Astyanax mexicanus: one gene and its partners. The protein of the gene in region 1 purifies or fractionates together with the protein of each later gene. This does not show direct contact. Links are inferred from orthologs where the notes say so. Each region holds a gene or a part of one and is shown in the gene's direction. Other genes may lie near its edges.

The links.
Region 2: the proteins of aatf (region 1) and ngdn purify together in Homo sapiens (affinity purification with mass spectrometry; 3 studies listed by BioGRID and IntAct, with this or other methods). This does not show direct contact. The link is inferred for Astyanax mexicanus from reciprocal best matches to the Homo sapiens genes AATF and NGDN.
Region 3: the proteins of aatf (region 1) and nat10 purify together in Homo sapiens (affinity purification with mass spectrometry; 3 studies listed by BioGRID and IntAct, with this or other methods). This does not show direct contact. The link is inferred for Astyanax mexicanus from reciprocal best matches to the Homo sapiens genes AATF and NAT10.

What each region holds. Positions count from the first base shown.
Region 1 is NC_064408.1:25,957,481-25,968,471, reverse strand, and holds the start of aatf (protein AATF), read left to right. Parts: upstream 1-4,726; 5' UTR 4,727-4,778; coding exon 4,779-4,863; intron 4,864-7,142; coding exon 7,143-7,316; intron 7,317-7,401; coding exon 7,402-7,833; intron 7,834-8,079; coding exon 8,080-8,217; intron 8,218-10,132; coding exon 10,133-10,247; intron 10,248-10,991. Other genes in the region: LIM/homeobox protein Lhx1b, read left to right, coding at 1,149-1,522. UniProt on the Homo sapiens protein: Part of the small subunit (SSU) processome, first precursor of the small eukaryotic ribosomal subunit.
Region 2 is NC_064408.1:89,576,996-89,587,986, reverse strand, and holds ngdn (neuroguidin), read left to right. Parts: upstream 1-4,083; 5' UTR 4,084-4,134; coding exon 4,135-4,158; intron 4,159-4,514; coding exon 4,515-4,574; intron 4,575-5,859; coding exon 5,860-5,931; intron 5,932-6,009; coding exon 6,010-6,147; intron 6,148-6,412; coding exon 6,413-6,497; intron 6,498-7,051; coding exon 7,052-7,104; intron 7,105-7,196; coding exon 7,197-7,323; intron 7,324-7,506; coding exon 7,507-7,681; intron 7,682-7,941; coding exon 7,942-8,089; intron 8,090-8,265; coding exon 8,266-8,320; intron 8,321-8,457; coding exon 8,458-8,477; 3' UTR 8,478-8,569; downstream 8,570-10,991. UniProt on the Homo sapiens protein: Part of the small subunit (SSU) processome, first precursor of the small eukaryotic ribosomal subunit.
Region 3 is NW_026040047.1:1,200,929-1,211,919, forward strand, and holds the start of nat10 (RNA cytidine acetyltransferase), read left to right. Parts: upstream 1-3,772; 5' UTR 3,773-4,075; coding exon 4,076-4,189; intron 4,190-5,480; coding exon 5,481-5,572; intron 5,573-6,464; coding exon 6,465-6,636; intron 6,637-6,721; coding exon 6,722-6,844; intron 6,845-6,933; coding exon 6,934-6,995; intron 6,996-7,652; coding exon 7,653-7,767; intron 7,768-7,842; coding exon 7,843-7,950; intron 7,951-9,335; coding exon 9,336-9,469; intron 9,470-9,567; coding exon 9,568-9,661; intron 9,662-10,856; coding exon 10,857-10,955; intron 10,956-10,991. Other genes in the region: caprin1b (caprin-1b), read left to right, coding at 209-406, 869-975, 1,073-1,159. UniProt on the Homo sapiens protein: RNA cytidine acetyltransferase that catalyzes the formation of N(4)-acetylcytidine (ac4C) modification on mRNAs, 18S rRNA and tRNAs.

The sequences.
Region 1 (10,991 bases):
TGCCAAGATGCATAAAAACTGTTATTAAAAACCAGGGTTATTCCACCAAATATTGATTTCTGACTTATGAATATGAACTTGTTTTCTTTGCATTATTTGAGGTCTGAAAGCTGTGCATCTCTTTTGTTACAATATACCTAGTCAGAAATAGGTATTGTAAATCATTTCATTAAAGTGCTTAAATAATTTAAATGGTTCAAACAAAGCTATAGGTAACAGAAACAGAAAATACTCTTTAAGGAGCTGTAGTTTTATCCTCAGCACTGACCCAGCAAACCTACATTCTGTAAATAAGGTCAAATTGACTAACACACATTCATAAACTGTCCTGCAGTGCTTTCAGAATGATCAGATATGTCCCTTAGAGACTTCATGAAATAAAATGATGGACAGGGTACATTACACAGATTTTAAAGGGTATGTGACATACACCACCATGGGTTCTTTTGTGGTAACATTTAAATAATGAAAAATAAAAACATTGTAGTTATATTGTGCTGTTGCTTAGAACGGTATATCTCAACCTTGGGTATAGAGTCCCACCGCTCTGCATTACTTGTAGTGTTTCTCTGCTTCCAACACACCTCATCCAGCTAATCAGCTCGTTAACAGTCCATTACTTAAAGTGGGTGTGTTAAAGCAGGAAAAGCACTAAAATGTGCAGGGCAGTGGGCCCTCATTACCAAGGTTGAACAGAAGTTAGAATAGAGTAAGAAGAATACAGTGAACACTGTGGCACTGTATGGATTTGTTCACTTCCTCCACCAGCATCTGGTTTACTTCAATAAAAGATTGATTAGATAACCTAGGTGTTGGAATGTAACTGTACATACTGTCAATCCCTAATAATGCTATTAATAAAATCTGAAATTATTGTACATTTCGATTTTTTTTATGTTATTAGTGTTTTTAAATGGTATTTCAACAGATAGAATTTGTTTTTAGATTTTTACACACAATATTGTACTATTTACATACGTGTATGTAATTTATGTGCTCAAGTTACATATCAATATCACACAAAAACCATCAGCAATATATGGCCTAAAAGGTAATATAAAATGTAATATTATACAATATCTGATGCTTCTAAATTAAGAACATCTTGATATGCGCTGGCCCTCACCCCTGACTATTTGTCCCACCAGATTATCAAGGTGAATACTACGGCCCAGGAAGCAACTATGACTACTTCCCCCAGGGTCCTCCGTCTTCACAGGCTCAGACCCCAGATGATCTAGGCTATGTTTCCTTGTCTGGCCCCACAGGCACCCCTCTGGGGAGCATGGACCATCATCATTCGGCTCATCACCCGGCTGCTGAGAGCCAGTGTTTCGGGGAAATGGTAACACACCACCCCGGGGACTCCCCCAGTCCGGAGCCCAGCGGGCCTGCCTCCATTCGCACCATCTCCACAGACATGGGTGTCCCCTTCACCTCTGTAACGTCACTCAGCACCAACGGATACACCAACCAGCTCTCCCAGCCCTCTTCAGAAATGAGTGAAGGCACTGTATGGTAGCCCATGGGCATTATGAACATTCAGGCCGAAGAAACGCAACAAAACGGACTCAGGTTTTAGGGTGGCCTGGAAATGTACTTTTTCGGTTGTGATCTTAATATGGATGTTTCAATAAGTTGATCTATGTATTTATATATTTATTTATTTTGTTTGGTTTTATGTTTATTTATTTAATATATTTATATATTTATGTCAATAAATACAAGCAGGCCACTGTATTGCACCACTTTAATTGGTTTATTGCGAATTTATATTTGTGTATTTATGAAATGAATGTCAAAAAGGTGTACAAGCACCCTACAGCAGCACTGTTGATTGTCCTGGCATATTATAGAAGACAACATTTATACACTATTTATGTTTGTAATATATCAGTTTATCATGTATCATAATCAAAGATCGCAAAGCTGATTGCCTTTTGCGGTTTTGTTATATCAACTCCGAAATGGAATCCCTTCTTCAAACCCAAATAAACATGTATGTAACTGGGCAGTTACATTATTTCCCAAGTTTCACCAAATTTCAGAGTTTGTCTGTAAAGGTAAAACCTAAAACAGAGTTCTAAACCCTTTATTTGAAATAAAAAAGGCTTGAACTGTAAGACAAAGTCTACCTTATGAGAACAATTTCAGCTGTGACCTGTAGTAGACAAAAAGCAGTCAACTGTTTACGACTATTTTCTTCAGGGGTTTAAATATCAGCATTATTTAAAAAAAATCTTGGTGCAGATGAAGAATGATTACTTTTTTTTCCTCAAGCGAACAACCAAACTTTTGTATTCATTCAGTTTAAATTTAAGTTGTGATTCACTGTGCTAATTTGTATGATATTGTGTTTGCACAATAAAAAATAAAAACAAATACTCAACATAATAGGAATTCAGGTGTTTGATGATGATTTCTTTCATGAAACCAATTGCAGATTTTTTTAAAGGGTGTTATATATGTTGTGAATATAAACATATTTATTTCCTAAATATATTTGAAACTATTTTAGAGCTACTAGAGCTGGAGTTATACTCAATTATGTTCTAAAGGATAAAAGAATGGTGATAATTTATCATTTTCCCCATAGGTAGCCAAAACATGTTTAATATCAGATATTCGCTCCTTCAGTTTTCAACATGAGATGCTAGGCTAACACTGCTAATAAACATGGAATGTATTTGTCTATTGAAAATTTATATAGTCTTATAATTATAACTAATTTGGTTCAATTTGTCAAGGTTTCTTAACTTCCTGTTGTAGCTTGTAGATTTCCTAAGCCCACATGGGATTTGTTTGACAGCACTTCTCTGAAGATCAGAAAAGGATAGTCACAGATTTACACAAGCAAGGATTGTTTCTTGGAATGACTGCAGAGTTGAAGATCATAAGTTTAAATAAATGCATGTAAGTACAAGTTACTAGGAGATGTAGCCATCTAACATGGCAACCATACCTGAGAGAATGTTGGTCCGGATTGTCAGGAACAACCCAAACAACACCAAGGCAAAGAGCTGCCATGAACTGAAAGCAGTTGGTACCGTTTCTCTGCCTACAGACAAGACCATAAAAGTTAGATAAGACAAAGACCATTCTGATTGACCATAATGACCAGAGATATATTTACATCTGAAAGCATACTGTATGTTACATGTTGCTGGTAAGCATGGTATTCTGGAGCTGTTTGGTAGTCAGTTGAATGGGTACATTCCACAAAGTAAATGAAAAAAGGTAAAAGAAGGACAACCTCAGAATTCTTAAGCATAACCTCAAACCTGTCATTAAAGACCTGGTGCTCTAACCACTGCCACTGCTACCACTGACCCTTTCCTGGCCCTCTTGGTACACAATGCTATTGACACATTTTACCAGGTTTAGTTAATTTCAGAATAATTTTTTTTTATATAATTTTATTTAACTTTTTCCCATTTTCTTCCCAATTTACACAGTCAATTACCCAACCCACTCACTAGGACTCCCCTTATCACTAGTGATGCCCCAACACACCAGGAGAGTGAAGACTAACACTCCCTAACGCTTCCTCCGATACATGTGAAGCCAGCCACCGCTTCTTTTCTAGCTGCTGCTGAGGCAGCATTGCCGTGCAGCATCACAGGAGGAAAGCACAGCGGCTCGGTTCTGGTACATCAGCTCACAGACCCCTAGGAGTGATGTGGGGAGAGAGCGCCATCTACCCACCCGGAGGGAGCAGGGCCAATTTTGCTCCCTCTGAGCGCCGGCAGCTTAATGGCAAAGCAGCATGAGCTGGAGTTCGAACCTGCGACCTCCCGCTCATAGTGTCAGCGCTGGACCACTCGCCGCTGGACCACTCGATGCCCATTTCAGAATAACATTTAAAAAATAAATACAAAATAACTTTCATTGAATGCGGCCAGCTTACCTTTACTGTTCTGACCAGTCAATATTTGAGGGCTCCATGTATTTAATTAGGAAGTTTTCACAGGAATAATAACTTATACCATAAACAAGACAATTGCTTATATCCAATTTGGATTAGTGGTGATAGCTAACAGATACAAATGTATCCAAACAACAAAGTCTATATAATGCTATTCTATGGAATATCATATACAGTAACATGACAAATTATATGTGCTTGTTAAACTCTTTAATAACTGCAGCTTTGTTTTAATAACTTCAAAAGAAGCTAAATTTACTAAAACTTTAGCTACCAAAGTATAAAAAAGTTTATGATGGGAGTTAGGGATAGTGTTAAAGTTAAATCTCAATAGTCAGAAGTTAATAACCATCAGTGATAATATATGAATATTTCTCACTAATGTGAAAATACAAACTTTATTATATATTTTTTCCTGAACCCAGAATTGAGTGAATATGAACACTGAACGCTGTGAGGCTCCAGCTCATCTCATATCACCTCAAATCACCCATCTCAGTTGGGTTTAGGTCAGGGGATTTGTTTTGTTTACTATGTAATTGTGTACATGTACCTTAATTGCTATGTCTAATTTAATCTACAATTAAGTGCGGTCCTATAATTTCCCACAATTTAAAGGTTTTACAGTTTTAATGATCTGTTTTGTATGTAATATCTCAATTCAAATTTTGAGGTATTTTTCAATTGAATTCTGAATTTTGTACCACCCTTCTCATAACAGATGCCTCTTACCACTACTCTGTAGTAGCTGCGCGCACACAAACACACATGTTTCTTGGTGCGGATGGTTTTACCGCCCTTGTCTGAACCCGGCTGTCTCTCCGTGATGACGCAGAGACTCTGAAGAGGCAGCATGGCAGCCTCCATATCCCAGCAGCTCGAGGAGCTTTTAAACCCTTTACCGACCTTCGCAGATCCCGAGGACGACCCGGATGAAGGTGCGTTACTGGCGGGTTATTCGCTCATCGTTTGGCTGGTTTACTGGCGGCGGGTATTAAATGCTGAGTGGAGAATGTGGCTGTGAATGGCAGTGCGCGTGCGGGTCTGTCTAATGAGAGCTAGCTAAAGCTAACAGACACTGTTTACTTAGCTAGCTAACCTAACCAGCTACTTATAGCTACATAACAAATCACAAATCACTTTATCTAATAGTTCTTATGAATGTTTTAAGGGAAAATAATAACTAGAACGTCTACTGAACGTTTTTAACAATGTTTCTTGTCTTGGCTTTGGTCCCTAATCATTCCGCCTTACTCCCTACCTAGTGCACTAGCTAGGCTATGCTAGGTATGTTGGTAGCTAGTAAGGTAAGCTAGTTAGCTAGCTAGTTAGGTTAGCTAGGTTAACTAATATAATTTCCAACCCTATAACTAGCTCGTATCCAGTTTAAAGCTCATATTTGCTCAGCTGTAGACTGTGAGACCCTGTACACTACCACTCAAAAGTTTGGACCTCTACTTCTCATTCAATGTGTTTTCTTTCTGTTTAAGATTTTGTACATTATAAATGTAATATTGAATATATGAAATCCACACAGGAAAAAGTGTTTAACAGATCAGAGTTAGATTATTCTTACAAGCCACCTTTAGGGTACGTTCACATTACCAAGCTGAAGTGACTGAAATCTGATGTTCTGCTCAATGTGACTTAGATTAGATTTTTTTTTCATGGCTGTGTGAACATGCCAAATCAGATTTTTTCAAGTTAGATTTGAGTTACTTTGGCTACGTTTACATTACCAGGCTAAAGTGACTCAAATCTGATTTTTTTGCTTAATGTGGCTCAGCTCAGATTTTTTATGGCTGTGTGAATGTGCCAAATCCATTTTTTTTCAAATCATATTTGGGTCACTTCCATATGTGCTTTTAAATCGGATATGTATCCAATCCATGGGTTGCACTTCGTGCTTCTCTCTCATACCCACACATCTCTTGGTGCATCTGTGTAGCTATCGCTGCAAAAACAGCAAAAGCAAGCCACCTGGCCTTTTTCACCTCCTCGACCTGAACATGTACTTCAGACGAAATGTTTGCTATGAGCTATGAGTTTTTTGTTGTTGTTGGTGAAAAATGGGGTTTGAGCAATGTGGCTTGTAATGTGGACATAGTCTTAGCTTTGAAGACGTATCTGCACACTGTTGGTATTTTCAGAGTGTCTTCATGAGGTAGAGTCACCTGGAAAAGTTTTCTCAGTGTCTTGAAGGAATTCCTCAAATCACTTTCTCAGCTGTGTTCAGTTGAGTAGATTGTGAAATTCAAACACTTTTTACTGTGTCCTACATAATTCCATATGTGCCCCATAATTGTTTTATGTCTTTAATGTTAATCTACAATGTAGAAAATGGATTAAGTATAGAAATAAGAAAAAACATTGAATGAGAAGGCGTCTGAACTTTTATCTGTTATGTTTTATTTGTAAGCTATTTATGTGTGTATTAGTGATTATGTCGTCACCTCTTTGCATAGGTGTGTGGCGTAGGAAGGGAAAACAAATAAACTGATACAGTACAACAGCAAACAAACTTAAACCTTCACATTTAACACTTATATTATATAACCTACTAAAAATCAAGCTAAGACTAGCGGAAAAAACATCTTGTGCTGGCCAAGAGCTAGTTAACAAGCTAGCCTACCAGCATAGGGTGTTTTTTCCAGATGAATAGCTGGTCTAAAGCTGATTTTTTTTTTTTTAGCAAAGTAGGAATTAAGGCAGCAAGACCATACATCAGGGCTGATGGACAGGGCATTTCAGATATGGAAACTGGTTCTTAGGCTTGAACTAGAGACTTTCTGGTCCCGGGCCTGCTTCATTAATCTGTGGAGCTGCCTCCTGTGCTGCAGTACTAGATGTTGTAATGTCAGTAAATTGTGTTCAGCTAGAAAAGATCCCAGCTCATCCCAAAGAAGTTAGCTTCAGAACTTTTGAGAATGCAGAAACTAGTGCAGAGGGCTAATGCAAATTTTACTTCATTTTTGCTTTTGCTTCATTATGCCCTAAAATGTCATATCTGTTCCCTTCAGAAACATCTGAAATGAACAAGCTGTACTGTATTTCGATACAGCGATATATTGTATTGTTGGATATTATTGTTTAGATACGATGTGTCAAATTTCGATATTTTATTTGGAACGTAGGCACACTAAAATCCCTAAGACTCACAATAGACAGCAGTTTGTTCTTATTTAATTCTAACCTTTGTATGCTGTTGTCTTTGCAGAAACCAAAGCCAGAGTTATAGACAAGTTTGATGAAGGTGGTAATGATGACGACAAGGATCTCCAGTCTGGTGGGCTGCGGAAGCGTGCCCCCACTCTATTGGCAGACACTGATAAACGCTATCAAGGCAAAGCTGTATCACGCAAACAGCTGCGAGAAGAGGCTGATGGTTCAGGTATGTAAAAAGACCGATCAGATATGATTTTTTGTTTGTTTTAATAATGTATGTATTTTTATTTTATTTGAATGATTTTTCTCAGCTGATGATGATGATGATGATGATGATGATGATGAAGATCTTGACAATGAAGAGCTAGGTGAAGATTTGGAAGATGAGGAGGAAAGTGTAGAAGGTGATGAGGAGGAAGATGAGGATGATGAAGATGAGGACCTAAACGAGGATGACAGTTCACAGATGTCCTCCTTGGCCACCAAGATGAAAAGGACTGACCTAAACATCCCTAAAGAGATAGACTTCAGGAAGTTTACTGAGGGAATGGACGACCTGGGAGAGAGTGACTCTGAGGAGGATGGTGAGATGGACGAAGAGGACAGTGAGGAGGAGGAAGGAGAAGACGATGAGGATGAGGAGGAGGAGGGTGATGAAGATGATTCTGGAGGTGTGATGACCTTCTCAAAGCAGAAAGTGGATGAAGAGGTGGAAAAGGGCCAAGCAGTGAAAAGTCAGCTTGGTAAGTGTTATTATCTAATCTGACTATGAATTAGATGTAGTGTAGTGGGCAGACTTTGTGAGCCTCCCTATATATTATAATAAATATAGTAAATAAATGACTTGTATAAATTATTTTATTTGTTAATAAATCTGAGTGTGTGACTGATATAATGCTATTTTTTGTATGTGTGCGAAACTACAGCTGTTGCCCTGTGCAATGATCAGTGTTTTATGATTAGTGTTTTGTTATGTTCAAACTCCACAGCTCTTTGGGATCAGTTACTTGAAGGACGAATCAAAATGCAGAAAGCCCTTGTAATGGCCAATCAACTTCCACAGCCTAACACCTTCCCAGAATTTCAGAGTAAGGGTGGGGCAGAGTATGCTGGAGCGCTGAAAAACAGTAAGTGGAACATATTTACAGAGGTTGGAAGTATTTTTTTTTTTTTTAGTTTTGTCATTTGTTTTGTGCCGAAGATTGGTGAAAATATATCATGGAACCTCTTCTATGAAGACATTGTATTATATTGTAACAAAAACATTCTGAAATGTTTATATTTTGTCTAGCTATTACATAATTTACTTTTTTTTCGTAAAACATATTTGTTTAATTTCAAGAGTGCAATAGAACATGATTAATCATAAAAAAACCTTATGAATAACTATTTTGGCGAGTAATTCCCTGTCTCTCCATCGTTTTCTTCCACATTTAAAAAAATATCAAGCATATATATATATTTATAGTTTTTGTCTAATCATTTTACCATTTTTTTATGTTTCAATTTCATATTTCACAGTGCAGTTGCAACATCATATATACTGGTACATATGTTATTCCAAGTCATTTGAAGTTTTGGAATTGGTCCGATCGTGAACAAATTTGGACATCGTGTAAAGAACATCTGCCAGATTATGTATGGAGAAAAGTTTTGCGACAATAATTAAACATTCAGTCACTTTCTCACGTGTATAAAACCAAGCCCCTAATCATGCAGTCTGCATGTTTTTTTTTAAACATTAGTGAAAGAGTGGATGAGTTTACTAAGTTCCAGGGTGGTTCTGTAATAGCAAGGCAGTTGGTGAAATTACTTTCCTCCTAGATATTCCTCCATCAGCTGTGAGTGACACACTATGTGGCTCAGCATCTGCTGATCCAGCTCTGTCAATTTGTTTGGCCTACCACTTTGCATTTGTTGCCAGTTAGTTCCACTTTACAATAATAGCACTGACAGTTGACTGTGGAATCTTTAGTAGTGAGGAAATTTCATGACTGGACTTGCACAGGTCTTGCACAGACGGTATCCTACCACGGTACCACGCTGGAATTCTCTGAGCTCCTGAAAGCAACCCATTCCATCCCTAATGTTTATAGAAGCAGTCTACATGCGTAGCTGCTTGATTTTAAACACCTGTGGCCATAGCTGTGATTGGAAGACCTGAACTCAATGGTTTGGATGGTTTGGCAGTATAGTGTAGCTGTTAAGAAGAGGTACCAAATCCATATTATATGATGTCTGTAGGTGTCCCAATACTTTTGTCCACATTGTTATGCATATGTATGTAATTTAAAAGCTTTATTTTGCCTTGCCTTTTAAACTTCCATTGTTTGTTTAGAGTGAATTAAAGCCAGAAAATCAGAATCCCTCGTACTTTTCTAATCATAGGCCACACTCTCAGGATTCTTTTGACTACGAACAATTAATACATTTGCGCTCGTCTCCTTTCTTAAGCACAGCGCCCTGCTTTCAGAGACTGGCTGCTCCTCATTTGCATATTTATTGCCTGGGTCTTCTCGGCGGCGAATGATTGATGTGGGGCCGTCCTCCTGAATTGTGAGCAGCGCATTGCTATGGGAGAGAGGGCGGGGGCTTTTGCCGAGCTCGTGTACTTTTGATTAGCGTTGAAGATGATGGGATCTGCGTGCCCTCCCCCATCTTTTTCCCCTTCTTACACTCTCTCTCTCTCTCGTTCTTTCTCTCTCTCCGTCTCTCTCTCTCCATAATAATGGATTACAGGATTGCTTTTTTTTTCTATTCAGGGTTTAAGACATGAATTAATAACCGCTGACGTAGAGACCAGCAGAAGCTGTGTGGCTTGTTTGTTTGTGCAGGTTTTCGAGACATGTCATATTGTCCATTTGGCAGCTTCACAGGGAAGCTTTGGAGATAGGATGCTTTTTTTCTTTTTATTTTTTTTTACCTAGTTGTCATTTTGTTTTTGTTTCTGCTATGGAAGAAGGTGAAGCGTCAAACAGTGCCATGTGTTTGTCCTTTGAGGTTAATGAAATATTGTGTGAACCCTGTCTCTGTCTCTGCTAGGCCACAAAGCCCTGAAGGCTCTGCAGAGATCTCTGCTGGAGCTGCAGGATCTGCTGCTGTACCAGAACCCTGACACTAGAGCGATCTCACAGGGAAAAACCTGGGGAAGTGACAGGTAACTCACACCACAGCAAAACCTGTCACTTTTATATACACCGTAGCTAGGTTTAGGGACTTCTTTTTATATTATATATTTTTTTAGTTTAATATTCCTTTTATATTATATTAATATTACTAATATTAGACATTCAATGAACATAAGATTTTTGATTGAAACCAAACAGTTATTTTTACAGTCAATATAAATAGCCCAAATGTATTTTTTGTCTTGCAAACAAAAAGCAATTTAAAAACCACAATTAGATGTGGTAGCAGAAGTACCAGAAAAGGACAATATATTTATCCTAGCAGTGCACTTCTAGTCATCAATTTTTTTTCAGCCCTATTATTCATATTTTAAGATAGATAAGATGCCCCAGCAGTGTTTTTTAATCATAGATGTACCTCAGCAGTGCAATTCTAGTCATACATTTAGGTCAATAACGCCATTATATACAAAAATGTATTTTTCATCCATGCTGTTCTAGTCACACATTTAGTTAGCTAGCTAGGCAGCTATCTCAGCATTATCATTTTATTATCACGGCTGTAATAAATAAATAACATCTAGCTAGCTAACTCGAAATTTACACAGTGGAAAACAATCTTTTGATAAACAAAGATAGCTGAGCTTACGTTACTCTCTTCCAGTTAGAAAAACAGCCAATATGTGAAGAAATAATAAACTTAGCTATGTTACTATACTAAACATAAGTGATCCAGTTATCCCTAATAAAGAAGAGATGTTTTACTAAACTAA
Region 2 (10,991 bases), about 64 Mb from region 1:
TGCCCAAGTCTCACTGATATAATCCAAGTTACAGGTGTTGCTGATTTGTTACCAGAAACCATATGATAGGTTGGAGAGCCTCACTGTGGGGCTATAGGGGTCAGTGATTGTCTGTGTGGGTCAGTGCAGGTCTATATGAGGGTCAGTCATGGTCAATGTGGGTCTGCATGGGGCAGCATGGTTCAGTGCAGATCTACAATAGTCGGTCATGGTCAGTGCAGATCTACGAGGGTCAACAGTGGTCAATACGGGTCAGTGACCAAGTATGCTAGACATTACTAGGACTGTACAGTGCAGGTCTGTGTGGGTCAGTGTTGGTCTACGATGGACTGTGCAGGTCTATGTGGGTCAGTGAAGGTCTGTGTGAGGCAGGTGCTGGTGTAGGAGGGACTGTGCACGTGTGTGAGTGGGTCAGTGCTGGTCTAGGAGGGACTATGTGGATCTGCGTGGGTCTTTATAGGTTAGTGCAGGTCTAAAAGGGGTTTTGCAGATTGCTGTCCACCAGTGGAGGTCTTTGGGCTACTATGCGGGTAAGTAGGGGTCTATGAGGTTTTAATCCAGTAAATGACTCTGAAGCTAAGGACTAATTTAACTACACCTTTTCCAGCCAGCCAGACCCCCAACAGCACAGGGGGTCTGGGAGTATCTGTAAGGCCATTTACTGATGAGACTACGGCCTGTAAATAGTGTGTGTGCATGTGTCTGTTTCTGCCTTTTGTTTACAGACAGTGAGCACAGTGGTGGTGGGCTTATTACTGTAAAAGCATTTAGCTGATTATCTGTGTGTGTGTGTGTGTGTGTGTGTGTGTGTGTGTGTGTGTGTGTGTGTGTGTGTTTCCTGTAAGGTCTGTCATGTAGAGATGTTTAACAGTAACGGTGTCTCCTGAAGGTCAGCTCCACCACTGCTCGAAACTGTCTACTCTAACATGAGTTAAAACACTGCTCTCTTTAAGTATGCTGACCTACTGTCCACTCTGAATGGTCACTAATTACATCACACCTGCATCACACACACACACACACTTTACACTGTCATAGCAGTTAAATACTTTCAAAATCTCATAATCCTTCAGCTCCTAATAAATTCAACAAAATTCATTATGATCAGCTGTCTGAACAAAATATGTTTACATATATATATCAATATATTTACCTTGTATGTTTGCATTATAACACATGTAAAATATAGATTTTTCCCTTTTATTTAACTTATTGTTGGCATGAACCATGCAATATGTGAAAAATATACATTACCAGCCAAAAGTACCCTCTCATTCAATATTTTTATTTTTTTGTGTTTCATACAATGTAAATTGCAGTTTTTTTCAACTGCCAAAACACAATTTTGCAAACTCCAAATATCTCATGTCCAAAATAAAGCATTGCAAGCAAAACTACATATAGCATTATCAGAATCATACTTTTGCACCAAATAGCAAACACTGTATGGAATTAAGTGACTTTAAGTCAGATTGTTGTGTCTGATTGTTGTACAGAGAACCGTGGATCAGTGCATTGTTCAGTGTTTTGAATTGCAAAATCTGTGTGTTAAGAGTGCTGGATACTTGAGAACAGGTTTTGCCCTTTCTATGACAGTTAATAATGATAGTTAATATTTATACCATGCACATCATTTTAGTATATTAGCAATTGACAAAAACTGTAATACTGAAGTCATCCAGACTTCAATCTGTGAAGCATTTAGGTGCTCTAGTTTGTGGTGATGTTAACTTGCAATTTCTGAGGCTGGTAACTCAATTAACCTTAACCATTAATTAACCTTTCTTGTGCAACAGAGGGAACTCTTGATCTTCCTTTCCTGGGGCGGTCCTGATAAGAGCCAGTTTCATCCTAACCATTTTGATGGGTTTTATGACTACAGAGAAAATAAATATATATATATATATCTTTTTTTTTTTTTAAATTAGACATTACTGACAGAAAAATGAGAACAGTGACACAAGCACCTCCACCAGGAGGCCACGATATAAAATATGTGTACAGGGTTAGTGTGTAGAAGTGATCTGGACCAGTCACTTTCAGGCCTTAAACCAAGTTAAACTTAAAGCCCTTGATACGTCAAATTTTCTTTAAATGAAAAAACATGGGATTGATTTTAAAAGACAAAAAATAAGTACAAATTAATTGTACAAAATACTTTACATCTGTGGCAAGAAACGGACTTGCCTGACTTTACACATCTTATTTCTCCATGTGTATCTCTAGTCAGATTACTAAATTAGATAAATCAGAGTAAATCTCTCCTATACAATCCTTCTTCACTCTCCATCTGTCTCGGCCTTATTTCACCCTCCAGCTGCTTCTTTACAGCGACTATTAACCTGAACCGCATCTACTGACCACTCACACATACACACAAATAGGAATGCAGCGCCATCTAGTGTAGAAATATGAGAGTGCGCTCTGTGATATTTTAAATCATAACTGGAAGCTGGAAGAATTTAATTTGTATTAGTATGTGTATTTTATGTTAAGGTTTTTATGTGTTTTATGTGTATATATCGGTTTATCTCTGATTTTTGCATGAGAATGACCAGTGACAATTTTAAAAGTCTGTTGGGGCCCTGTAGGCAAAAATTGGTCACACGGTCCCCTCAAACCAGCGTATATCGCCATCATGTTCTAGATGTGACACCAACAGTTCTTACATACTAACATAAACACATCATTTACAGCCTTTTTGTATCATAAAAACCTGCACGTCAGATATTAAACATACAATAAAACACACATAAACTGCCCACATAGCACAGCAGTTTACACAAAAACAGCTTAGAGCAAATGTCATTTAGAATAAATCTGTACAATTTTTTATCTTAACTTAGTAACTTTGGATTAATCACTTCACAGCCAGCAGACCTGAACAGGTTATGGGCTGTTGTGCTAGCTAGGTTAACTAGATAATGTTAAACATTAAAATAATAAGTGGAGACTAGTAGTATTACATTATTTAGTGATATATATTTAATTGCTATTATCTGCTTTACTCACCAGTTCTCTTTTTCTTCTTTCTTTTTTCACTCACAGAAAGATGCAGGCCACTTGCAACAAGGACGAGTGCAGTCAGTCAGAAGCCCCCTTATGCTAACACTACGAAAAAAAAATTCTGAAAAAACTTTTAACAGACTAAATTTAGACTTTATTCTGACAACCTCTCACATCTAAAGACTAGTCACAGACTTTTTACTGACAGAAGTTTTAGTCACAAATTAAGATCATGGGGACCTTGAAGTGTTATATTTGCCCAACTGCAACTACATACTTTTAGAGCTTATTTTATTAATTTTGTATTATTATTATTAGAAGAAGACACGTCAAAGAAACACTCTTGCTCACACCACAGCTCCACCAGTTTCTCCACCTTTAGAACACTCCAGGAGAATCATGGTTTCCGAGCCATCTCTGGAAACTCATCCATGTCCAGTTCCGTAAACGTTCCCACGCTTGCCTTGCGACTTCCCTTAGCTCTCCTATAGCTTGTTTTACATTGTTCACATCACTAATTGAGTGAGCCAAAATTATTTAAAGACTTGCGATAATATTAAACACAATTAACTTTATCTGAATGCAGGACGAGAAAAATACTGACTTAAACATTAACACCTTAAACTGAAAGATCAAGATCGAGATGCGACCGTAACTCGACACTAGCAATACTCTCATGACACACAAGCTGTCCCTAAAACAAAAAACTTGGCTCATTGTCACTGCTGTAGTTTAAAGATGCTAAATAGAGTCCCTTGCAAAAAAATCCAGGTCAAGACCAGCTGGTCATCCAGAGAAAACATGGTATGTTATTTTGTTTTATTATTTAAATGACCAGCTAGTCTTGACCTGGATTTTCTAGCAGGGTTTTAAATATTAATTAACATAAATATAAATGTTTTTTTTTTAATGTGCCTTGTGTCAAGGAGTAAATGTTAATATTAGCCTTATAAAATTACACTTTTGACGCTTGTTTTACAAACTAATAGTTTAAATACTTTAATCGGTTTAGTTTGTCTCTCTGTCTAAAACTACTGCCACGAGCTAACTCCTGCTGAACAGCAAAACCGCGCAACGGAAAACCGACCAGCTGTCCGTCATGTCCTAAACAGCTCGCCGTAGTTCAAGATGGCGGCCAACGGTGTACAAAACGTGAGTTGTTGTGTTTGTGGGTAAATTTGTATTTATAAAGCGGATTAATGAGCTAAACGTGCTGATTATTAACGGGCGAGCGCGACTAGAGTCTTATCTATAAGACGGTAAAACTGTATAGAAGATGGAAGCGCTGTAGCTACTGTTTAAAGAGGAGCAGCTGCAGAGAGGAGACCCAGCGCTGTATAAATCCCACTACACTAACTACCCACATTACCTGAATACAGACTCTCTCTCCCAGCGAGGAAACGCTAAACAACAGTTTTACCTTTACCTGCTATTCCCTCCTGATTTGTCTGTGATTTATAAATGAAAACTAGTTAACATATTGTTGTTTTATTATTAACTTTTTTCAGGTCTGTGTTGGTGATGATTTACCCAAAGCTGTCCAGCTCCTCAACACACTCACAGAACAGGTCAGAAGCTGCTGAAACAGCGCCTTAAATGTTCTATATGTAGGTACATAAAACGACCAGGGGTGGCTTCCCTAAAAGGCTCTTAGCACTAAGATGACTTTTTAGATGGTCAAGCGAGCTTCACTTTAAGGACTCTCTCTAAGTTAGGATGTTCCTAACCCTCCTTTTATTCTAGGAGTCCTGTTTTAAAGTTTAAAGATCAAGTAAACATAGTAAAAAAAATATTTTTTCAGTATGAAATTTCTTCTGCTTGTCTTAATTAGTGTAATCAACATATACTATGAAAATGGTTCATCCAGCTCATGCAGCTTTGCTATCAAGCTGCCGGCGTTAGAGGGAGCAAAATTGGCCCTGCTCCCTCTGGGTGGGTAGATGGCGCTCTCTCCCCACATCACTGCTGATGACTGCAGCACAGGGCGTCTGTGAGCTGATGTACCGGAACAGAGTCGCTGCGCTTTCCTCCAAGCGTGCTGGCTGCTCGGTAATGCTGCATCAGCAGCAGCTCGAAAAGAAGCGGTGGCACGCTTCACATGTATCGGAGGAAGCATGTGCTAGTCTTCACCCTCCTGGTGTGTTGGGGCATCACTAGTGATAGGGGGAGTCCTAATGAGTGGGTTGGGTAATTGGCTGTGTAAATTGGGGAGAAAATGGGAAAAATTAGAAAAAAGAAAAAGAAAATGGTTCATCTCACATATTTGCAACCACCCCCTGCAAAAACTAAAACAAAACTTTATGTTCAGTGTTATGTAAAACTATTTTGTTTTATTTGTTGGTCTTTTAAAGGTAATAAAGCAGTAAACAATTATGTTTGAATATGTATTTTTTTTAATAAAAAATGACTGAATTATCCTAATTGAACCATTATCTGTTAGAAGGAAGGAACACCATTGCACTAAATTTTGATAGAATAATTAGCATGTAATAAAGCTATGATAATGGAGTTTAAAAATGGAGACATCTTTAGTTATTATAATTAAACATGCACTAGGTCAAACTGACCCAAGAACATCATTGCTGTTCCTGACAAATGAACATAACTAACAAAGAATAATGCTAAGATTTAAGAAACTAGGCCCAGATCCTTTAAAATAATAATTGTATTGCAGCTTATTTCTCTTATGTCATGTTATTTTCATTTAATGTTTTATGCAAAAAAAAAACTTTATATAAAAAAACAAAGTTAAAACAGTTATACTGTTAACAGGTATACTGATTATAATCCACGTGGGGTGATTGAGGAACGTCCTTTATGACTGGCTTTATTAAATCCTGTTGTTAATTTCAGGTGGTTTCTGTGACGAGCCATGTCTGGGACTTGATAAAGAAAGTCCAAGGACAGGCTAATCAGATGTCCAAGGTAAGAACAGAGCTCTACTGAATGTATATAAATGCATCTGTCGCTAAAGTTTCTCTGCTGACACTGTTCTGGTTGCAGGGCTTGTCATTTCTGGACCTGCGATATCACCTCCTACTGTTTTACCTACAAGATCTTACTCATCTGATCAGCTTGAAGTCAGAAGGACACAGTTTGAAGGACAGTGCTGCTGTTCACAGGCTTGTCACCATAAGAACAGTAAGATACTTGTTTAGTCTCCAGAAATAAGGGACAAATAATTATTTATTTTATTTTATTTTATTATTTTTTTAACTTAAGAACTTGGCACTGTATCTCTTAAGACTGTCACGTTTCTGTAAAGCATCTTTGTGTCATCAGTTGTAAAAAGCACTATACAATTCTTTTTTGATGATGATGCTTTGGAGAAACAGGGCCCATGTTCTTCTTCAATGTTTGTATCAAAAGGCTCTAATATTTTCTCTGTTTGTTTAATAATATTTAGGTTCTGGAAAAGATGCGTCCCCTGGATCAGAAACTGAAGTATCAGATTGATAAATTGGTGCGTACAGCAGTCACTGGCAGCCTGGGTAAGATTTATTGTTTTCACTGGTATAAAGGGCTGAGAGACTGCACTGGTATGTTAGTCATTAAACCATGGGTTTCCAACGAAACTTGCAGCCACACTGATACTTTGAGGATAAGATTGGACACTCCTGGTTTACATGTTTGATATTGGGGCGTGATTTCTCTAATTTCCTTTGTTCAAGCCATTAAACACTTCTTAGAACATGAATACCGAGATTTATGTTCTTGAAACATAGGAGTGAGAATTGCTACCCCATATTTTTAAACACAAATAATTCAATTAATTGTTCCTAAAATGGAATATATAAGACTAGAATAATCTGCTTTGTTCCTATCCTTGATCTTATAATTGCACTGTGGTCACCTCACACTTCACCTTTGCAAGTTATCCCTTTTGCTTCATTAATTAATCCGTTTTTTTCTTCATCTACTTTTGTGGATTAAATAAAAATCTCATCATGTTTCAAGTCAGATGTGTGCAGGAATACATTGTGTATCACAAAAGAATAGTGAATATGAATATGCCTCCTAACTAGAGTTGTATCTTCTGTTACAGCCGCGAATGATCCTTTACACTTTCGTCCAAATCCTGAGAATCTCGCCAGTAAGGTAAAACCCACTCAGATCCCTTTAATTGCCTGTACCTGGTCATGTGACATTTGGATTCCAAATTTAGTTATTGTATTTTTATGTTTATGCAGCTCAGCGAAGCTGAAGACTCAGATGATGATGTTGATGATGATCATGAACCAGGAGATGAAAAAGATGATCAGAAAACAGGACTTGGCAGGAAATACGTACCACCCAAGATTGCCCCAATGCATTATGGTAAAATGCATGATTCAGTTAATGGTTTAGTAATAATCCAATAATCCAAATAATGTTTTCAAATTCAAATCAGTTTCTTATGGAAGTATTTAATCAGCATCACTGTGGTGAGACTGTGGCTTTGAGTGCTGCTCAACAGATCACATACACTTTGGTAAAATTGTCTTGTCTGTTGAACTGCAGGCGGGGATATGACCGAGTCGGACCGGCAGAAAGACTTTGCTGATAAGCAGAGGAAAGCGGCTCTGCGCAGCTCCGTCATCCAGGAGCTCCGGCGACAATACAGTGATGCTCCAGAGGAGATCCGGGACCGCCAAGATTTCCAGACTGATCGTGAGATACAAGAGGACAGACACAGGTAAGAAAAATATACTGAATTATAGAGTTACTGTAGATGAATAACAGATTAATATACTTTGTACTGTATTAGCTGTCTGTGTTGGCTCTATAAAGCTGGAGGTACAATCCTTGCATAACATAACTTGCTGTGCACTCTCTCTTTCCCTGCTGGGAAGCAGCTCCTCTGTAACCCCATCTTGGTTGATTTTTTTTTCTGTGATGATGCCTGCAATGTCTGGCCTCAGTGTTTACAGATCACTGTTCTTTGTCTTTCTTTAGGAAGAACTATGAGGAGTCCATGATGGTGCGTCTAAGTCTTACCCGAGAACAGAAGGCCAAAAAGAGGCGGATGGTGGGAATGACCTCACAACTGGGCAACATCACACACTTCAGTGACATCACGGCACTGACTGGCAGGCAGACAGCGGTGAGCACATTGAAAAACATTATTAAAATCACTCATAATAAACCATAAACTCTTAAATCATGAGAGCATAATCTCTACACAGCAGTGATGTTCTCAAAACTGCTCAGATGGAGCAGGTCTGTTAATGAATAATAATCTAAATTATCATAGTAAATAATTATTCTTTTATGTTGTAGGATGTGGAAAGACCAAAGAAGAAGAAGAAGCTTATGAAGAAAAACAAAAAGAAAAGTAAGTCTGGATTTAATGAATATTGCACTTACTTTTTTCCCAAACTTTGATATTTGCTGTCGTTATTATATCTTTTTTTAATATAATTGATATGGATTTAACTGACAATTAATTTTTGTTGAACTTTTACTTTTCAGTGTTCAAGAAACGCAAGTAGGATTTTTTTTTTTTCAACGTCCAGAATAAGACAGTGTGATGAGGTTGCAATTTCTTTAAAGATTTCAAAATAAAAAAAACAATAAACCAGAATGTAGTTCTGTATTTTTTTTCCTTCTGCAATGTATTTAATGTGTCAGTGATTACTGCAGCATGTTACACTGAATTTTACTGAATGTTACATCACATTTCTGGACATTTCAGTGTTTATATGCACCAAATTACTGAATTACGCAGAATGTTATTTGACGTTTAAGCACATAATTGAATGCTTTAGCACGTTCTTGAACATAGTATATTTCTCTGCAAACCCACAGTGGGGTTCATGTGTACAAGACAGCCATGTTAAACTGACCTTTTGCTACTTCAGCAAAAGTACTTTAGGTACGTTATTCAAGTCTTTCACTGGTCGGTTATTCACAGCCCTGTAGTAACACTGATGAGGTGGTGCAGAAGAGCTGCTGGACAATAACCCCGCAGTGTGACTGTTAGACAGAATAGTCCACAAACCAGAAATATTCAGCCAGCAGCGTCCTGTGGGAACGTAGAGGAAGACCAACAGAAACTGCAGCAACAGATGAGCTACTGTCTCTGATCTAAAAGGTGGAGCAGGTAGGTAGGAGTGTCTAATAGAGTGGAGGACAGAGAATGAACACTGTTTAAAAACTCCAGCAGCACAGCCCAGGGCCACTGCAGTGCTGTTAACAACCAATCACCTAAATAATAACTGCTCTGTGGTGGTCACTTACTACATAGTCACTATCTCAAGTGGAAAATCTGAGGGTTTAAATGTACTACTGAGATCAAACAGCACTTCAAAATAGTTGACACACTACAGAGTGCACTATTTCTGTTATAGGGATAGATTCCAAACGCAGCTGTAGACTCTTTTTGGCCACTCTTGAATTATCTGTTGAGAGCTTTCAGATCCAACAAAATATCAGACCCAGGTGTGCTGGAGCAAAAGCAATTCTTTAACACAGAACACGAGAAACATTGAACGTTCCTGCTCTGGCTCATGCCACTTCATTTCTTTGATCTATCCTTTAACCAGCAAATATATATTTTTTTAAATCACTCAAAGAAATGTAAGTGCAAGTAAGTTGCATATGTACGAAAATAATGCCTGTTCTACAGTCTCCACATTCCCCATCTCCACACCATTCCATCATCTACCAGTTATAAAAGGTCATTCTTTTATATTTATTTGTTTATGATTGTTTTTAAGGTGTTCAGACTGGGGTTAATAGAGTTGCACTAATACTGTATATGATTACCCTAAGCCACCACTGGGTTAATTTTTTACCCAGTTTTACACATATTATTGAATCTGTGTTCTGTAAAGAAAACAGAAGGACAAATCTATGAAATAAACGTTTATACAAATTAATATAGTAAAAAAAAAAAAACTAAAACCTTTTTGCTAAAATCTGCATCAAAAGTTTGGGCAAAATGTCTATAAATAACAATACCCACATATAACATTACTCACATTGCTTTAATGTTTATGCCAGATTATGTTTCTTTCTCTTTACAGTATTAAAATATCAGAAAAGGTTATGTAAAAATTTGTCAGTGCTCACAGCTTTTAAATATTTTTTTAGCTAGCACATTTTCTGTAAATATGTATATTTTGTCAAGACTATTTATATCATGATTAAAAATCTAAATTAGTTGCATATGTATTTTTATCTATATTTGTCATTATTCTCTTTAAATGTGTGTTTTTATATCAAGAGCTTTAGATTTATTATTTTAATTTTATCTCTATATTTATGTATATATCAGTGTATATTTGTTAATATTGTGTGTATTAGTGTATTTTTTCTGTTAATATACTCTGTGAATCTGTATATTTTACTGTATATAATTTTGTTAATATTTTCTGTAAATCTGTATGTTTTAGTGTACAATATTTTTGTTAATATTCTTTGTAAATCTGTATATTTTACTGTATAACATTTTTTATAATATTCTCTGTATTTGTGTATATATTAGTTTATATTATTTATGTAATATCTGGATATTTTCATGTATATTATAGTGTATATTTAAGTGTGTATTTTACTGTATATTTAGTTGTATATTTTACTGTATATTTAAGTGTATATTCTACTGTGCATGTAAGTGTATATTTTACTGTATATTTAGATGTATATTTTACTGTATATTTAAGTGTATGTTTTACTGTATATATTTTACAAGATATTGTTTTTGTTAATATATTTTCCCTGTTTTTTTTTTTTTTTCCAGTTTTGTTTTTTTAGTCTGTGGATCTCGCTCTCGGGTTCGCGACCGTGTCACGTGATCGTCGTGAACGCGCATCGCTTCATAAACAACATGGAGGGTCTGAGGCAGAGAGAGGGGCTCATAAAAGCGGATTAGAGGAGCGGGGGAGCGAGCTGTCAGCCGGGGGTCGGGTTTGTATGAGTACAGGGAGCGGTACCGCAGGTGTCCGGGAGTAACAGTGGACGCGGAGAGCTGAGAGACTGCAGAGTGACGGTAGGCCCGTTAG
Region 3 (10,991 bases), on another chromosome or scaffold:
ATATGAATTACCCCTGTGTCTAGAACTACCTGTAGGGTATGAGAGGACAGATCAGTGTGAGTAAAGGTAAAGAGCTTCAGATGGTGGAGTAACAGAGTAGAAGGATCAAACGCTAGAAATATAATTTTCCTATAAACTGTGCGTAGCATGGTTGTAGAAGAGTCACTCCTACCTGGTTTACAGTGTCATTTGTGTTTGTGTTCTGCAGTGGTTGGTTCTTTCCAAGAACAGTCTCTGAATAGTTGCGCTGGTCACCCAATCCTGTCCCAGCAGCCGGTGGGTCCAGGCGCCACCTTTAACCGCCAGCCGCAGTCCTTTTACAACAGCCGCGGAGTGTCCCGTGGAGGACCTCGGAATTCCCGGGGTGTGATCAACGGCTACAGAGGACCATCCAACAGCTTCAGAGGTACAGTACGGTCTTCTTGTGTTTGCTTTATATTGATCATCAAATAAACAGCTGCTGCCAGAATGAAGTATCATATTGAAACACTGCATGGAAGTAGGTAAAAGTTAGAAAAACAAAAAAAAATCATTCAAAAGTTTGACTAATATGGGCAATATTTATTATGCTCCACATGTAGAAATGACACCAGTCTTTCAGGCGTGTGAGGCATAACAAATGGTTTATCTTTGTGCTGATACACACTAGGGGTGTAACGGTACAGAAAATTCACGTTCTGGTTCACACCACTGTTGGGTAGGTTTTCGGTACCGTTGGCAGAAAAAATAAAGAGGCTGGGCATTCTGTATAGCATCTCCTTTATAAATTCATTTTCATAAATTTTGACTAAATGTCTTGTGCTGTTGTCTAGAATGTTTGTAATTTCTTTTCTTTTTAATGTGTGTATCTGTAATATAAATCTGATAGGAGGCTACGATGGTTACCGCCCACCCTTCTCTGGGACTCCAAACTCTGGCTATGGACAGGTGCAGTTTGGTGCTGCTCGAGACTATTCCAACACCAGCTATCAGAGAGTAAGTAGATGTTTATGAACTTTTTGTGGTTTTGGTCCAGAGGAAAATAACTCTTGATTTAAGTGTTTTTTTTTTTTGTTTTGTTTTTTTTTTGCAGGACGGCTTTCAGCAGAATTACAAACGTCCCGCTGGGCCGGGTCCTCGCGGTGTCCCCCGTGGAAATGCCCAAGCCATGCGGTCCTAAAAGTCCTGGAGACCGTTTTGACATGAAGTTGCACTTAGTGTTTAGTCAGATGTGGAAACGCATAAGTCCAACTCATTCAAACGTATGTTTCAAAAGTAAGGAACTTTCTGGGCACAAAATAAGCAAATTAAGATTATACTGTCCGTTTTTAGTGCCCTTAAGTGTAGTGCGGGACTGTCTATCCTGCACTACGACTGTGTTTAGTGTTACTCTTTGGAGAGGTGAACATAGTACAGGGCTACACTTAATATAGACAATGACCCCAAGTTCTGTAAGAACTAAAATACCACTGTTGAGGTTTTAAGCTAGATTGTGCACTTGAAAGATTTTCACTAATTTATTTTTTATTTTTTTATAAAATTAAAGGTGTGATGCACCTAAAGTACTTTTTCTTATTAGGTTCACAAAAGATGCTCTTTTTAAAAACTCAAAAAGAATTTAAAACAAGCCCCAACTCTTCAATTTGTATATTGATGTTGCTTTGAGCGTTTCAATAAAGATGTGTTGCATAAACTCTAATTGTGTTACATGTACAATTTATCACAGGTATATTAAGTACGTATTCTGCTAAATAAAATGCAGTATATGGTGTATTTTACTCTCACTGATCCAGGATGGCGTGTGCACTTATTTAGTGTTTGCAGTGGAGAAAGCAGTGTTGAATGCTGCTGCTGTACTACGCCAACACAATTCATCTATTCAAACTTTTCGTCACAATAATTACTGTTCAGACATTTCAGATATAAGGCTCTTAATATGTTCCTGCTGAAATAATAAAGGGTCTTGGTGAGGTATGTGTTGTATCACATGTTTGGTAGGTGACTGGGGATTTAAACTGTCTGTGTTTAAGACATGATTTATTTAATTCTTTAAACAGAAACAGGAACCACCTCTAGGTTTTAGATCAGGTGAAGGTGGTCAGATGGCTTGGCATGTGGATCGATGTTAATGTGGAAAACAGGTATCACTAATATTGAGGAGAAGTGTAAAAGTGTCCTCAGTGTACTTAAATGCCTGGAGGGCTGTGATTGAGGGGCTGATCGGTGGGTGTATGGAATTGTTTCTAAACGCACTGGTCACTCTTTCAATATTGTTTAGAGCTTTGTTCACTGCAGTAATGTCTGTATATTTTATAATGTATCTGAATTCATCTAAACTGCAATAAAAAAAAACATAAAATATTTTTTATTACTTAAAATCTGACAACAGCCTGAACAAGTGTTACACAAAACTGTACATTTTACTTTAGTAATTTTATGAAACTTTATAATGTTACTCCACTTGTAAATCTCAAATGATTAATATATTTACTGCACAGCTGATGTAGTTATTTTTCAGATTATGTTTCATACACATTACATCTTTCCTCACCTGATTTAAGTTAATTTAATCATTACTTTATTTTCCCTCTCGAGTTGCAGAGGACCTGCTAAACTAAGGAATCCACTAAATACTGCAGGAAGATGCACCTATAGGGCCAAGGCTGAAAAACACAACTGTAGATTGAGGATTTAAACACCACTAAAATACCTCTAAACTTCAATTTAAACATTACAATTGGTTTGGAATTAAGCAGCATAAAGAAGATTTCTCCCACTTTTACCTAGCTCTTATTTATTGACATTTTTTTTGGTAAAACAGATTTAGATGTTTAGTTGAGCATGGATTTTAATCTGAGCTGTAAAACACCTGTTTACAAAGAATAGATTTTTAGAACCAAAAAAGTTGCTTAGTTTATACCTAACTATACCACCCCATCCCCATTATAATTATGTGCACTGTAAACATCATTAATAAACAATGTAGTCAACACAGGTTTAAATAATAAAGGGTCCAAGCACCAAATGAGCGGGAACATTTTTGTTCTTCGTTTTTTTTGTTTAATTATTTTTCTCTGATAAAACAGAACAACAGAACAAACCGTAAGTTGTACAGACATGACGGTTGGTCGACAGGTAGTAGTCCCTCCCGCTACTCAGGCGCTCGGGCTCAGGCCTATGGGCCTGATGGTGGCGCTATAGTGAAGCATCAAACTTCAAAGTCCATATCTCTTACCCCGTATGACACAATATGCAAATGGAATTTTTTTTGTGTGGGTAACGGTTGGAGAAGTAAAGTCGGACAGTCTCCACCTGCAGAACTACAGCAGATCTCATGGTGTGGCTCTTATAGAAGAATAAAAGTAGAAAATACATATAACACTTATATGTATTATTTATACGAGAGGAAATTATATCAAAAGTATTCAATATTCATTTTAAACTTACCTGGTCTACATAAAAATAATAATAACAATAACAATAATAATAATAATAATAATAATAATAATAATAATAATAATAATAATAATAATAAATAAAAATGAATGGCGAAAATTATCTTGTTTGCAGTTTTTAAAACAACAAAGCAACAGTTTGAGAGAATTTAAAGTGAAAAAGTAAAGGATATAAAATACTAAAAGAATTTTGGTGCTCAAAAAATACTACCAGACATGCTGTCGAACCGAGGCCGGCGCTGATTTGGGACACAGCCCAAATGCGCACTCTGTAGGGTGCCCCGGCTGATTTGGGACACAACCGAGCGGGGTCCTTTCTCCCGCTGTCGCAGAAGTTCTGACGTCAGATCGGGCACTGTGTTCCCACGTGAGCGCCGCAGCGCGTGTGCTGAGAGATGATCTGATTCAGTAAATACAGGAATATTACCTCCCGGTTTATATCAGATTTACCGCGCAGGGTTCAGCCTGGAAACTGCAGCAGCGCGCGGGGTACAGCCTGTCTACTGATACTGAGTTTAGTGTTTAGGGTTAGTTATAGTGTTAGTGTCGGGTGTTCAGTGTAACTGATATTAAATAGTAAAGTGTGAGCTGTTGTGTTCCTCCTGCTGCTGCTCAGGGCTTCTGATCCGGTTCAGATCAGCATGGCGACGGTTCGGAAGAAGGTGGATAACCGGATCCGGGTGCAGATCGAGAACGGAGTGGCGCTTCATCACCGCAGCCTGTTTGTGGTGGTGGGAGATCATGGTCGAGATCAGGTAACGTTAGATTCCTCAGCCTGTTCCTCCTGTAGCTACACTAATACACACGTGGAGTTCAGAGGAACCTCCGCCTGCAGCATGTTTACATTCTGCTCTTCACATTAACCTATTTAATCCAGCAGATCAGTTTATTAACATCCTGATCCTGCTGTTAAAAGCAGGGCATCACTAAAATATGTGCAGCAGGTCACTGTTCTCCAGGTCCAGGGTTTGGAGTTCTCTGCGAGTTGCTGATGGTGTCAGTAGTTGGTACTGATACAGGGTCTGTGCTGGTGATCTGATTGGCTGCTGTGCACTGGAAAATACCTCAAAGGTTCTTGTTGAAATTTTCCTTGAAATGGTCACCATTGATTTGCTCACTTGGGTCTCGGCTCTAGAGCTCTGTTAAGCTGTTTCTCCACTATGGAGAAAATACTGATACTTCATAATGTAACACTATTAACTTATGCAGTAATGAACACAGCAGTAGTTTACAGATAAAGATTAGTTGCATGTAATCATCAGTTGATTCAGTTGGTGTGGTGTGTACAGTGTCTTCAGATCCCACTGTTCACATATCTTTTTATACATTAAATCATACGTTTTTATATTTGGAACAGTTTGCTAAAATGTAATTACATTTTGTGACCCTGTTTAGTACATTTATTATACAAGGTTGTTGCCAATACAGTATTAAGTGAAATGTGCTATATGATGTAAATGAATTCAGTTGAAGGAGTGGTCTGGGTTCAGTCTGTTATTTAAAACAACAGTATCACATGTTCGATTGTTTGAGGTCAGTGTAATGTTTATTAATTTAATTTTCGAACCATTTGTGGCTAAATGCAAAAATAGAAAATTGAATGTAGAAACTCATTTTCATTTTTTTAAATGTAGTGCAGTGTACAAGAAATAGGTTTTCATCCATTTATCTAATTTTTTTTTTCATTTCTGCCCCTCACAATCATAATTTCAGGGGGGGAAAAAAATCTTATTTTCAGATTTTGCAATTTTTGCATTTTGCAATTTTTATTATACCATCATATTTTGGTTACAAGATAGAAAATGGACCGATCTGAAAATTGAGAGAAGATTCCACGTTTCATTTCTCTTAAAATTCTGTTTGGGAAAGGCTCAAATAAAAAAACTAGATAATTTAAAAGTTGGATGAAAACCTATTTCTTCATCATTTAGAATTTAGCTTGATACAGTCAGAAAATTAAACTGCTAAATGTTACGCTGACCGTTTGACCTGACACTTTGCTTCTACATTTACATCCCCTGTGTTCTGCTTCTGTGTACGCTGCAGGTTGTCATCCTGCACCATATGCTGTCCAAAGCTACAGTGCGAGCAAGACCATCAGTCCTTTGGTGTTATAAGAAAGAGCTTGGCTTTAGCAGGTGTGGTCATACATATGATTCTACAAGTTCTTTTCAACCTACATTCAACTGAGTTCACTACAAAGACAAGATATTTAATGATTAAACTGATAAACTCTATTGGTTTTTGCTAATTGTTTTTTACTCATTTTGAATTTCTAAAGAAGTTGGGACAGGGTCAGCAAAGAATGGGAAGGTTGAGGAATGCTCAAAGACTGTCAGAATTGGGTAAAAAGGGAGCATCTCTAAAAGACTCAAGGGTTGGCTGAAATTCACCACTTTGTGAACAACTGCTATGTTAGAGCCCATGGCATGGAGAACCTGTACATCTCTGAAGCTCCATTAATACCGAAAGCTTCATCCAGGTTCTGGAGAAACACATCCTGCTGTCAGAGCAACGTCTTTTTTGGGAACGTCCTGCTTATTTCAGCAAGACAATGCCGAGACACATCCTGCAGGTGTTCCAGCAGTGCAGGTACGAAACAGAGACCCGGAACTGCTGATCAGCTGAAGACCTACATCAAGCAAGAATGAGAGAGAATTCCACCTAAAGACCTTTAACTATTAGTGTCCTCAGATCCCAAACTCATACTGAGTGTTAAAGGAAAGGTGATGAAACACAGAGACAAACACAATCCTGTTCCAACTACTTTACAACGTGCTGAAGCATCACATTCAATATATATATATATGAATATTAATTGCCAAAACCAATAAAGTTTATTAGTTTGAACATTAAATATCATGTCTTTGTAGTTAATTTAATTAAATAGGTTAAAAAGGATTTTCAAATCATCAATTTATGTTTTTATTTGTTCACACAATATTTCCCCAACTTCATCAGAATTGGAGTTGTAATATCACTGTAGAAAATGTGTAGACTTTTAAGTTGAAAAATGTGATCAATTTGCAGTAATCGTAAGAAGAGGATGCGACAGCTGCAGAAAAAGATAAAAACAGGCACGCTGAACCTGAAGCAAGACGATCCCTTCGAGCTTTTTATTGCTGCCACCAACATCCGCTACTGCTACTACAACGAAACCCACAAAATCCTTGGCAACACATACGGCATGTGTGTTCTTCAGGTTTGTCACATTTTCCAACTTTATGTTCAGAAATGAAATCCATGTACTCTGGATAGATGTGACTGTGTTTCTGTTTACTTAAAAGGATTTTGAGGCTTTGACTCCTAACCTCCTGGCGAGAACTGTGGAGACAGTGGAAGGTGGAGGCATTGTGGTGATTTTGTTGAGGACCATGAACTCACTGAAGCAGCTCTATACAATGACCATGGTAAACGTCTTGCTGGTTGTTGGAGATTTGGAGTCCAGTGTTAAAGAGTCTGGTTGTGGTTGGTTGTGATTGTCTGTGGTCTTTTTCAGGATGTTCATTCCCGCTACCGGACTGAGGCCCATCAGGACGTTGTTGGACGGTTTAATGAAAGGTGTGTAAAATACTGTATAACAGAATATCATTAGGATGTTAGGATGTGCGAGGTCACTTAAGGCAATTAAATCAAACACGTTGCAAAGTTTTAATTCTTGACACAAGAAGTAGATACACAGCGCTGTCTCTGTTTCTGTATGAGTGACAGGCTGCCGCTGCCTGAGAAGCTCAAGGGGGCGGTGGGAGGGTGGGTGTTGGCAGGAGTAAACAGCAGGTAACCGCACGGCCTCCATCCACATGGTTGGGTGTGTGCTTGTAAATGCACGTGTGGAAAGCTGTGCACCTCAGTTCAGCACAGCTGTCAGTTACAGCTGAATTCACACTTTTAATCCCAGAAATACACGCTTATTTACCTTTTAAAAAGCCTGATTAAAGGCTTCACTGTTGTTGTGCTGTTTTTCTTGGGTTTTGAGAGCTTGGTGCTGATTCAGCTCATGGTCGGTTCAGACACGAGACAGCGCGCAGGTGGGGGCGGGGCTGGTGATGTCATGGGCCATGCATTGTTAAATATTGCAAAATATATAGTAAAAAAAAAAAAAAAAGAACATTTGCAATGTACAATTTTTCCGATATCGTGCAGCCCTACTAAAGATGTTCAGCAGATGTGATGCAGAACATTTTCATTTAACCGACTGTTTCCATTTCATCTTCACAGGTTTATCTTGTCCCTGTCCTCCTGTCAGACCTGCGTTGTTATCGATGACCAACTGAATGTTCTGCCGATCTCCAAGCACATTGCAAATGTCAAACCTGTCCCACCTAAAAATCAGGTATGATTTGTCAATAACACGTCCTGATCATTTACCTGGACTGCTGTCCTTCATGCTGTGTGGCTCTTCCTACAGGAGGAGGGTCAGTCGTCAGGGGAGCAGGAGCTGCAGGACCTGAAGGAATCGCTGCAGGACACTCAACCCGTGGGTGTTCTAGTGGACTGCTGCAAAACCATGGACCAGGTACGGCTGAAAGAGCTTTTATCTAAGTTATATTTTACACGAATAAAACGCTCAGCAAAAGTACTTGTGCAAAATTAGAATATCATTAAAAATAAACTTTATTTTTGGCAGTGTGCCAAGTCCTGCTGGAAAATGAAATCCGCATCTCCATAAAAGTTGTCAACAGAGGGAAGCATGAAGTGCTGTAAGACACTGCACTGACTTTAGACTTGATAATAAAACACAGTGGATCAACACCAGCAGATGACAGACATGTCTCTCCAAACCATCACTGATCATCAGTAAATTTTACATTTCATTTATAAATTAAGGGAGCAGGGTCTGGAGGAAGAGTGGACACACAGTCCAAACTGCTCGAGGTCTAGAGTGAAGTTTCCACCAATCAGTGATGGTTTGGAGAGACATGTCATCTTCTGCTGACTACCTCTTTGCAAACTGGATGTTGTTTAGCCCAATGCTACAAACTGTAATAATCCGACTAATTGCTCTGTTGGATTGGAACACAGCCATGTGATCTGTTAAATAGAAGAATTATAGCCATGTTAACGCCTGCATGGGATTACGTTTCCAGTCAAAACATTTAAGCACGTTCTCCACGCGCACTGGAATAGAGGCTTCTACAGTACATGTCCTCCGTCTCACTTGCCAGGACAGTCTGTCTAAAATCACAAAGGATCCAAATCATTTCACATCAAATACATTATCTACACAAGTAGACTTGAGGAAAAAAGCCATTTTATTAGTTAACATTCCTATAAAAAGAAACAAAAACATTTCTCCCTTTATTTAACATACTTTTCGGACTATAAGGCACACCTAAATACTTACATTTTCCCAAAAATGGACAGTATAATCCAGTGAGCATTACATATATGAATTGTACCGGTCAGGCATTAGCATTAGCCACTAACTGCAGCACTAGTGCTGTTCAGAAGTGAGTATATTAGACTGTAGCCTTACTGTGTTAAAACAAGCTTCGTGGGACAAACCTCTAGCTGATATCACCCTGACTTACCCTGGAAATCTAAGCTTACTGTAATTAAACCGAAGCGCTTTACCAAACTAAATAAACAGTTTTTAGGAGAAAAATCTGTGTAGATTAACATCCAGCACTCGTTTGACTTTGAAAGAAAAGTTTTTTTTTTTATTTTTTTTAATACAGTTGTGTGATCTGATGAATTAGAGGCGAGACATGGTGATGCCCTTCTAGTTTGCATTTTTACTAGTGTCACTTTTTAATCCAGTGCGCCTTATGTACGAAACATGAAAATAGAAGGAAATAAATGAGATAAAGCTTGGAAAGATGTATAGATGCGTCCCTCGGGCAGCGAGACGCAGGATCATATTTTTAATGATTTTATTCTGTGTCTATGTGTGATTTTCAGGCAAAAGCTGTGCTAAAGTTCATTGAAGCGATATCTGAAAAGACTCTGAGAAGCACTGTCGCCCTCACTGCTGCCAGAGGCCGGGGCAAGTCTGCAGCTCTGGGGCTGGCTGTGGCCGGAGCTGTGGCCTTCGGGTGTGTGGTGGTATTCTGTATATTGTTTAGTGGCACACATCACCTTTAATCAAATGTTTGATTAAAACATATTAAACTGTATGATCTGTTTATTACAGATATTCCAACATCTTTGTTACGTCGCCCAGCCCAGACAATCTGCACACATTGTTTGAGTTCATATTCAAAGGCTTTGATGCCCTGCAGTATCAGGTAATGATCACAGTTAATTTTACTAGCTTTTACTAAATCTATATAGAGTACCAGTTAAAAGTCTGGACACACCTTCCTATTCAGCGTTTTTCTGTATTTCTTCATTTAATATTAAAAGAAAACTATTAATCCCCTGATCTAAACCTGATGAACTGAGCGTGAAGTAAAAGCAACACCCCTGGAACTCCTTCAAGATGCTGAGAAAAGGTGACTCTACCTCTTGGCAATTAAGTTTGGCTGTGGGCCAGATATTTTTTTCAAGCCAATACTTGGCGGGCCGCAAAAATAAATTCTGTTTTGTAAAATGAAGTGCAATGAGACTAGTAGCTCTCCAGGTCAGTGAGTTGTTAAACCCAGTTACAGAACAGTTGAATTCAAAGCAGATAAAAAAATAAAATAAATTAAGAAAGGAAAAAATACATAAATAAACACTCCGCTCCTCACACGAGATTGAACCTGTGTCGTTAGGGTCATGGTCCAATACTCAACCGCAGCCCCGGCTAGTGAATTGGGACGTGGCCGGGGAAAAAAAGCCCTAATAAGGAGATGAGAACGGGCAGAAAAACAAGAACAGCTGGAAACTGAAGTCACGCAGAGTGCCACAGAGAGAGAGACAGGGGAGGCATGTAAACAAAAGCACACCAGAGAAGATTTTTATTTTTTTTCATTATGGTTCAAACAATTGCCGACCCCTGCACTCCCTCTTGAAGACACTGAGATTAAAATATCAAAAGTGTGCAGATATGTCCCCAAAGATAAATGTGACACTTAGAAGAATCTAAAGTATAAAACATATTCTTTTTTTAACACTTTTTATTTACATATTTCAGCGTGTGTTGCTGTAGAGCTTTGATAAATAATATAAAATATTAATTAATAATATAAAAATCATACAAAAAAAAAGAAAACACACTGAATAAGAAGAGAAAACGTGTGTCCAAACTTTTGACTGATACTTTATATGTGCTAGAATTGAAGGATATTTTACACGGTGTGAGTTGTGTGGTCCTCTTCGGTCTGGATGAATTAGGGCTTAATTTTGTTATGTAATTGTATTTGCATAATAAGTGCAGTGTCGTCGTACAGAACCTTACATATTGTGATTAATAATATAATTAAATGCCAGTTATATATCAGAATGCATGGTTATGTTAGGAGTTTATTTATCTTTAAACTTAATGATCTTGTCTGGCAGGAACATCTGGATTATGAAATTATCCAGTCTTTAAACCCCGAGTTTAATAAAGCTGTGGTCAGAGTCAACATATTTAAGGAACATCGACAGACCATTCAGGTACAGTGACGCCTCTCTTTCCTCTCTAATGTGTTT